Linked DNA regions of Drosophila melanogaster. The gene in region 2 interacts genetically with the main gene of each other region. Each region holds a gene or a part of one and is shown on either strand. Other genes may lie near its edges. The genes, in order: Dsor1 and Taf6.

The links.
Region 1: of Taf6 (region 2) and Dsor1, changing one enhances a phenotype caused by changing the other (phenotypic enhancement), as found in Drosophila melanogaster (one study listed by BioGRID).

What each region holds. Positions count from the first base shown.
Region 1 is NC_004354.4:9,245,234-9,249,153, reverse strand, and holds the start of Dsor1 (downstream of raf1), read right to left. Parts: upstream 1,813-3,920; 5' UTR 1,356-1,812; coding exon 1,246-1,355; intron 613-1,245; coding exon 1-612. Other genes in the region: amx (almondex), read left to right, coding at 2,093-2,947; Larp7 (La related protein 7), read right to left, coding at 3,431-3,920. UniProt on the Drosophila melanogaster protein: Required downstream of Raf in the sevenless (sev), torso (tor), and Drosophila EGF receptor homolog (DER) signal transduction pathways.
Region 2 is NT_037436.4:19,596,768-19,600,687, forward strand, and holds the start of Taf6 (TBP-associated factor 6), read left to right. Parts: upstream 1-2,320; 5' UTR 2,321-2,392; coding exon 2,393-3,277; intron 3,278-3,339; coding exon 3,340-3,509; intron 3,510-3,566; coding exon 3,567-3,920. Other genes in the region: ash1 (absent, small, or homeotic discs 1), read right to left, coding at 1-1,326, 1,389-1,469. UniProt on the Drosophila melanogaster protein: TFIID is a multimeric protein complex that plays a central role in mediating promoter responses to various activators and repressors.

The DNA.
Region 1 (3,920 bases), on a different chromosome or scaffold from region 2:
GAGTTGGCCATCGAGTCGATCAGTTGACCGGAGACGCCGAAATCACAGATCTTGATCTCGCCGCTGCTATTGACGAGGATATTGCTCGGCTTCACGTCACGGTGGATGATGGCGTGATTGTCGCGCAGATAGCTCAAGCCCTTGAGCACCGCCAGCGTGATCCTGCCGAGAATGGACTCTGGTATTCGACCGGCCCGCTTGAGGATCAGGTCAAGTGATCCACCGTCCATATACTCCATGCAGATACTGATCTCGCCGTCGCTGTAGAAGGCGCCGTAGAAACCGACAATGTGCGGGAAATTACATTCGTGCAGGACTTTCAGTTCGCGCAGGATCTGTTTCTTGATCGCCGGCTTCACCTCCAGATGGATCAGTTTCCTGGCCATGATCAGGTGTGTGTGCGTGTGCCGGACCTTCATCACCACGCCGCCATTGCCCGATCCGAGCTCGCCCAGCTTCTCCAGATCCTCGTCGGACAGCTCGCCGATCTTCTCCTTCTGGCTGAGGAACATCTTGATCCGCTTGCGTTCCGTGTCGCCCATGTCCAGACCCTCCAGCGTCTCTGTCAGCGCATCGATGCTCGTCTTGGGCTTCCCCAGCAAACTGTGTGTGCTTTAATTTAACCTCTTAATGAATTTTTGCGATCCAAAACGAAAATGTAAAAAGTGCAAGCAATGGATGGGATTTGAAAGTGGGGGATGGGATGAGGGGCGGGCCGAAGTTTCTCCTAATAATAAGAAAACTACACAAACATACACATCAAATTACATATGTATTGTGTTATGTTATGTTGCCTACATTTTGGTGCTCACAAAAAAATATACGATAAAGGTAGGACTATTAAATTATAATTTCTATTTATCTTCGAAACTGACTTTGTCATCCCGTTAATTAATCCAAAAAGCACTAAAACAGTTTACTGTATTTACTCAGTAAGTTTTTTCTCGCTGTGTACCTGTGCGTCACACGAAAGGAGCACCACCCACACCAACAAACAAAGAGAGAGTACCTGCTCTTTCACTCCGACTGTCTCTTTCTTTCCAGCTGGATGGGATTTCCTTGGATCAATTGATGGATATTAATTACCCACCTAACTCGCAAAACTACAGGATTATCTTACCACTGAGTAGGAAACCGAAAACGAGGAGTGGAAGGGGAAACAGCGAGGGAGGGGGGATGCGGTGTTATTGGAATGGGTGGCCTAAAAACCAGTCAGTTATTAAGGATATTATGTATAATATTTACTCTGTGCCCGAGGGGGTTTTGAATGGCGGCGTCGGCGCCACTGTGGCGGCGGCAACAGTTGCCTCCGTATTTACCGGCGGCAGCACCAGATTCAGCTTGTTCTTCGACATCTTACTATATATAATATATATCTCTCGATACCGTTATCCGTTACCGATAAGTTAAAGCACACAACAATAACAACAACAAAAAAAAACTAATAAATGAAACAATACAAATAGAGAGTGTTCCAGTGGAAACAACAACAAAACGCACTACGAACAGCGGCGTCCGACGAACGGCTGAAGGGTGTGAGGGGCGAGGGGCGTCGGCGAGGGGGCGTGCGAAGGGAGGCCAAGTGCGAATGTTTCGTTTTGTGTGTCCAGCCGCTGGTAAATTTGCACCAATTCCTCGCGTTGCGCTTAACTTTAACACACCCGAACCGAGCACACGAACAGCAAACGGATAGTTAATATTATTTTTGCAATAATCAGCCAAAATCGGCGACTTTTGGGTTTTTTTCGCAGACGGTGCGGTATGGCCAGATGTCGCGATTACCAAATACCGTTAATACACTCCTACGACTAAAGCGGCCAATGGTCACAACTTAAATGGAAAGGATATTAGGATTAGATATTACTAATTTGTTACGATGAGGGGAGAGGTATACTTATCTGTTTAGCCAATTTAATTGAGCCAAAACATATCTATAAACTATTCGATACGCTTTTTAAAGAAATTTCTCCTGAGCATTCGCGGTTGATATTTTCATGCCACGCGTATACGGTCACACTCTCCCACCCCACTCATTTTCTTAAAGGGAAAAACAATAACATTTCCGGCGTATTCCCCGCTCTATCTGACCAAAATGAGGCTCCAACGACAGTGCATTGTGGTCAACATGCGATCGGCCATTGTCCTGATCATGATCTTCGTGCTGACGGGGATCAGGAACAGCGAAACGGCCAGCGGTGGCAACCAGATGGACTTATCGGACTCAAAAGGCGATCACAAGGATAACAGCAATGCGAGCAATGGCAATGGAAATGCCAACGATAACGAGGTGTATGTGCCGCCCCTGGTGTCCAGCATGGTGGCCAAGAGTGGAGGAGGTGCCGGTGGACTCCTGGACAACATAACCGCCTACAGCAGCAGCAGCAGTAGCAGTAGCAGCAATGGGAACAACAACATGCTATGCCCGTACGATAAGGAAACGCCCTGTGATCGCCTGCAGTTTCCCTGCATCCGTTGCAACTACAATCATGGATGCATCTACGGCCGGGACTTGAATGTAACCTGCGAGGTGATCAACAATGTCCAGTGCCTGGGCGAACGGAGTTTCCAGCGACAAATGAATTGCCGATACTGCTACCAAACGGAAATGTGGCAACAGAGCTGTGGCCAGCGCTCCAGTTGCAACTCGGCGACGGATAAGCTATTCCGTACCAACTGCACCGTGCACCATGATGTGCTCTGCCTCGGCAATCGATCCTTTACCCGCAACCTGCGATGCAACTGGACGCAGGGCTATCGGTGGAGCACAGCCCTGCTGATTAGCCTCACGCTAGGGGGCTTTGGAGCCGATCGATTCTACTTGGGCCACTGGCAGGAAGGGATTGGAAAGCTGTTCAGCTTTGGCGGCCTCGGCGTCTGGACCATCATCGATGTCCTGCTCATCTCGATGCATTATTTGGGGCCAGCGGATGGCTCACTTTACATATAGTTTAGTTTTACAGGGGTTAATAGGTCATAAGCTAACTTTTCCATTACAGTGTACATAATAACGAATGCAAATATGCAACCATTAGGAATAGCAAGATCTTCTCAAAAACGTGTACATAATTAATTAGGAAATGTATTTTATTAATAATGCCAAAAGTTCTTTTTTGTATCTTTTATCTAGCACAATTCTTTGATCGTATCAATAAATAAGTGAAAGAGAAAATATAACCATCTCTTTCTCGTTCCTGTAAGATCAGACAAATTTGTAAAAATAAATGGTTTGTTTCATTCAGAAGATTTATTTCAATTTCACTAGGAAGTTTCTTTTTTAAAAATTCAATTTGTTTTTACAATATTACTCTAATATTACGAAATCTTGTGCTAGATCTAAATGTATCTTTTGCTTACATTTATAAATTTATATAGCTTATATTATAGAGTTTCCTGAAATGAAATCCAAACTCACCCCTCAACTGAAAGTGACTCAGTCCATGGCGGCCGCCTGCACTTCATCATCGCCATCATCAAACTTAATGTGCTTGCCCAGCATTTTGCCCACTTTCTCGCGACCGCGTTTTTGCTGCACGCGCACCTTTTTCGAGAGTTTCGCCTCGCGATCCTGCTCGATTTTTCGCCAATAGAGCGTCTCCTGCTGGCCAGAGAGCACTTTCAGCTGCCTCTCGGAGCAGTTGACCTGGCGTAGCAGTTCCTCGGCTGCGGCAGGCGTGCCCAAACGTAGTAGGGCCACTTGGTCGCCCTCCTTAATATCCACATATTTAATATCCGGATATTGGCGCATTTCAGCCTTAAATTCTTTAACATTGGTGCATGGTTTTAGCAGGGAGCACTCCACAATCAGCCCGGGCTCGTATTTAAAGAGCGGCGTGCGTTCCTGCGAAGGTTCTTCGGATTTGGTGGATTCCACGCCGCCGGCGCCGTAGAAATTCATGTTCATCTTGTGCACCGCCTTGCGA
Region 2 (3,920 bases):
AGATTCCTTGCAATCACTCCGGTAGCCGCAGCTCTTTGCCCTGCTCCTGCGACTCATACAACTCTTGGTGCTGTATCGACTCTTGCAGCTGGCATCGGACTTGTAACCGGAGTTGTGGTTGTGGCTGCTCCGCTGATGTCGTACGCTTCCGTAATCCGAGACGTAACCGCTCTTAGCGGCCAAGACCTTACTGCAAATAGTGGTGCTTGCTCCTGTTCCACTAGCCGCACCCACACTCATACTCCTCAGCCTAAACTTCTTGTTCACGTCGATCTCTCGCCACAGCGGATCAAGCTGAAGTTCCTCTTTGTTGGATGAACTGCAGGCTGTCTTTTTATTGTTCTGCCGTCGCTTACTCCTGGGCGGTGGATAGAGCACCCGCTCAGTGGCATACATTCGCTTGTCCAGATACGCCATGTCGATCTTAGGCTTGCTGCTGGAGGCGATTGGCAGCGATCCCGTCGGCACAGCATTCTCATTTTGCATTTTCGGGGAGGGAGTAGTGCTCTGCGTTGTGCTAGTGGTGCTTATCACACCCGAATCGGCAGATTCGTTTATAGCAGGGCCAGAGTTTCCTGGGGCAGGAACTGTGGGAACCACTTTTTTGGGTCTACCTCTGCGCTTTCGAGGAACAGCTGTTTGGACTAGGGTCTCCTCCTTAGCTTTAGCCACTTTCTCCTCCGCAAGCTTCGCATTGACGGTCTGCCCCAGCATCTGAGTCTTCTCCATGAAGTCTTGCAGCAAAGTTGACTGGTACTGGGGTAGGTTCTTGTCCTTGGCCGCTTTGCGGAAACTTCCTTCCACAGTTGTGTCCTCCGTATCGCTCTCCACTCGCTTGATAGCCGCCTGCACCAGGTTAGGTAACTCGTTGTCGCTGGACGAGATTCCGATATCGAGGGTGGGTTTGCTGGCCGACTGTGCCGCCTGGATGATAGCACTTAGCAGCACTCGCGGAGCTCTCTGCTGATGCACCTTCAAGGGCAGATCGTCCTCTGAGTCCGAGGAAAATGCCGAGATCTGTGACTTCTTAGACTTAGACACTTTGTCCGATTTACTAATCCCACTGGAACTTGCCAGCTTCTTGCGCTTGACCTTCACTTTCTTGCTGACCGCTCTATTTTTGGCCTCCGAGCAGCCGGACTCGGTGTCCTGGGTAGACATTTTTCTGGACTTTGGGGGTTTCTTGGTTGCTACGACTCCTAACGTGGGGCGGATGGCCGAGATTCTCATTCGCAGTCCATCGGTGTCCGAACGCTGCACGCTAAACTGGGTGGCTGACTTGATCGACTTCGACTGGCTCGATTGATCCGTAATGGAATCGGTTTCCTGAGGAGAACAACACACTTTACATATAGCATTGCATAAAGGGTGCCATTTTAAAGACTTGCCTCATTTTCACTGCCGGATTCTTGTGCGCGTTGCGTTTCCAGAACCTTTGCTGCTGCCGTCTCATTTTGGCTACAGCTCATATTTTGGAGTCGCTGGGGAGCTGCAAAGGTTCGCTTTTGTTAGCCAAGTGTTTTTAATTCGATTTGGTGGCACTCTTAATCGCCTTTAAAGTAGGTCAAACCGCGGTGACATCGTCCAAAAAAAAAACCATTACCTACAGCACACTTACGCTTGATTGTTTTCTGGGCTAGTAGTAGACCTCAGTAGTCGGTTTCGTTTGTGCCGAAATGACAATCTATTGCTGCACACATTGCATTTGCACTTTTCTTGAGCCTTAGGCCGTGGCTTGCCTGCTTCTAAAATGGCGCCGTTTTCACTTTCCCAAAAACTGCTTTGTTCGACGCCCGACGACGGCGCAACGTTGCAACGCTTCTCGCATGTGGCACATTAATCCGCGGTACCGATAATTCACTTTTTTCGCGACTAGTGGGCGGTGGCGGGGCGCATCAATTGTTATTGTTAATGTGGCGCAACAACAAAAAGCCAGGCAACCAAAAATTTACGAACATAAATAAAGAAAAAGACTGCGTTTCAGTGTGCCCAGCTGGGGTGTACGTGATGTCTACGCGACAGTGTGACCTTGCGGCGGAATTTAGCAGGCAACTATCGCGAACAATAGTGGATTCTATTCAAAAATAGCTGGAAAAAAACAAGCCGATTATTGTATAACAATGTGAAACCAGTAATATTAATATGACATTTTTTATGAATTAAAAATGAATTCTTATATTTTTTTTACTATTGTAACTAAATATTTGTTATGGGAATATATTCCTTACATGAACTCGCAAATAGCAAAATTTTAGGTGACCATAAAACTAATTATAGCAGACGATATGAAACAACAAAAAAGCCAGAATAGCTAGATTTTCTCTTTTGGGTGTGTGCACACTGGCCGAGCAGCTCGGCGATTATTATTTGTTTATTTGTAAAAACCTGGGAAATGAGTGGAAAACCGTCGAAACCGAGCAGCCCCTCCAGCAGCATGCTGTACGGCTCCAGCATCTCGGCGGAGTCCATGAAGGTGATCGCGGAGAGCATCGGAGTGGGCTCCCTGTCGGATGACGCCGCCAAGGAACTAGCGGAGGATGTGTCCATCAAGCTGAAGAGGATTGTACAGGATGCGGCCAAGTTCATGAACCACGCCAAGCGGCAGAAGCTCTCAGTGCGGGACATCGACATGTCCCTTAAGGTGCGAAATGTGGAGCCGCAGTACGGTTTCGTAGCCAAGGACTTCATTCCATTCCGCTTCGCATCTGGCGGAGGACGGGAGCTGCACTTCACCGAGGACAAGGAAATCGACCTAGGAGAAATCACATCCACCAACTCTGTAAAAATTCCCCTGGATCTCACCCTGCGCTCCCATTGGTTTGTTGTGGAGGGAGTGCAACCCACTGTGCCCGAAAACCCCCCTCCGCTCTCGAAGGATTCCCAGTTACTGGACTCGGTCAATCCAGTTATTAAGATGGATCAAGGCCTAAACAAAGATGCGGCAGGCAAACCCACCACCGGCAAGATACACAAGCTGAAAAACGTGGAGACCATTCATGTCAAGCAACTGGCCACGCACGAGTTGTCCGTGGAGCAGCAGTTGTACTACAAGGAGATCACCGAGGCGTGCGTGGGATCTGATGAGCCGCGGCGCGGGGAAGCGCTGCAGTCGCTGGGATCCGATCCTGGCCTGCACGAAATGCTTCCCCGCATGTGCACCTTCATTGCCGAGGGAGTTAAGGTCAATGTGGTTCAGAACAACTTGGCGTTGCTTATTTACCTCATGCGCATGGTTCGTGCGCTTCTGGATAATCCTTCGCTGTTTCTGGAGAAATACGTAAGAAATTTCTTATTGTATTGTTCTTTGTTTCTCATAAAAACGATGTTGTCTCCGCATAGCTCCACGAACTGATACCCTCGGTGATGACGTGCATTGTGTCCAAACAGCTGTGTATGCGCCCCGAGCTGGACAATCACTGGGCCCTGCGAGACTTTGCCTCCCGACTGATGGCTCAAATCTGCAAGAACTTCAATACCCTAACCAACAATCTGCAAACCCGTGTCACCCGGTAAATCACATCCACTTAAATTAAATAACCTTTTAACATCCATTTCCCAACCTTCAGCATCTTCAGCAAGGCCCTGCAGAACGACAAGACCCACCTGTCCTCGCTTTACGGCTCTATTGCGGGTCTCTCGGAGCTGGGGGGCGAAGTCATAAAGGTTTTCATCATACCCCGCCTTAAGTTCATATCGGAGCGCATTGAACCTCACCTGCTCGGCACCTCCATCAGCAACACTGACAAGACAGCAGCAGGTCACATCCGCGCCATGCTTCAGAAGTGCTGTCCCCCGATTCTCAGGCAAATGCGCTCAGCGCCAGATACAGCGGAGGACTACAAGAACGACTTTGGCTTCCTGGGGCCGTCGCTGTGCCAGGCAGTAGTCAAAGTTCGAAATGCGCCCGCCTCAAGCATTGT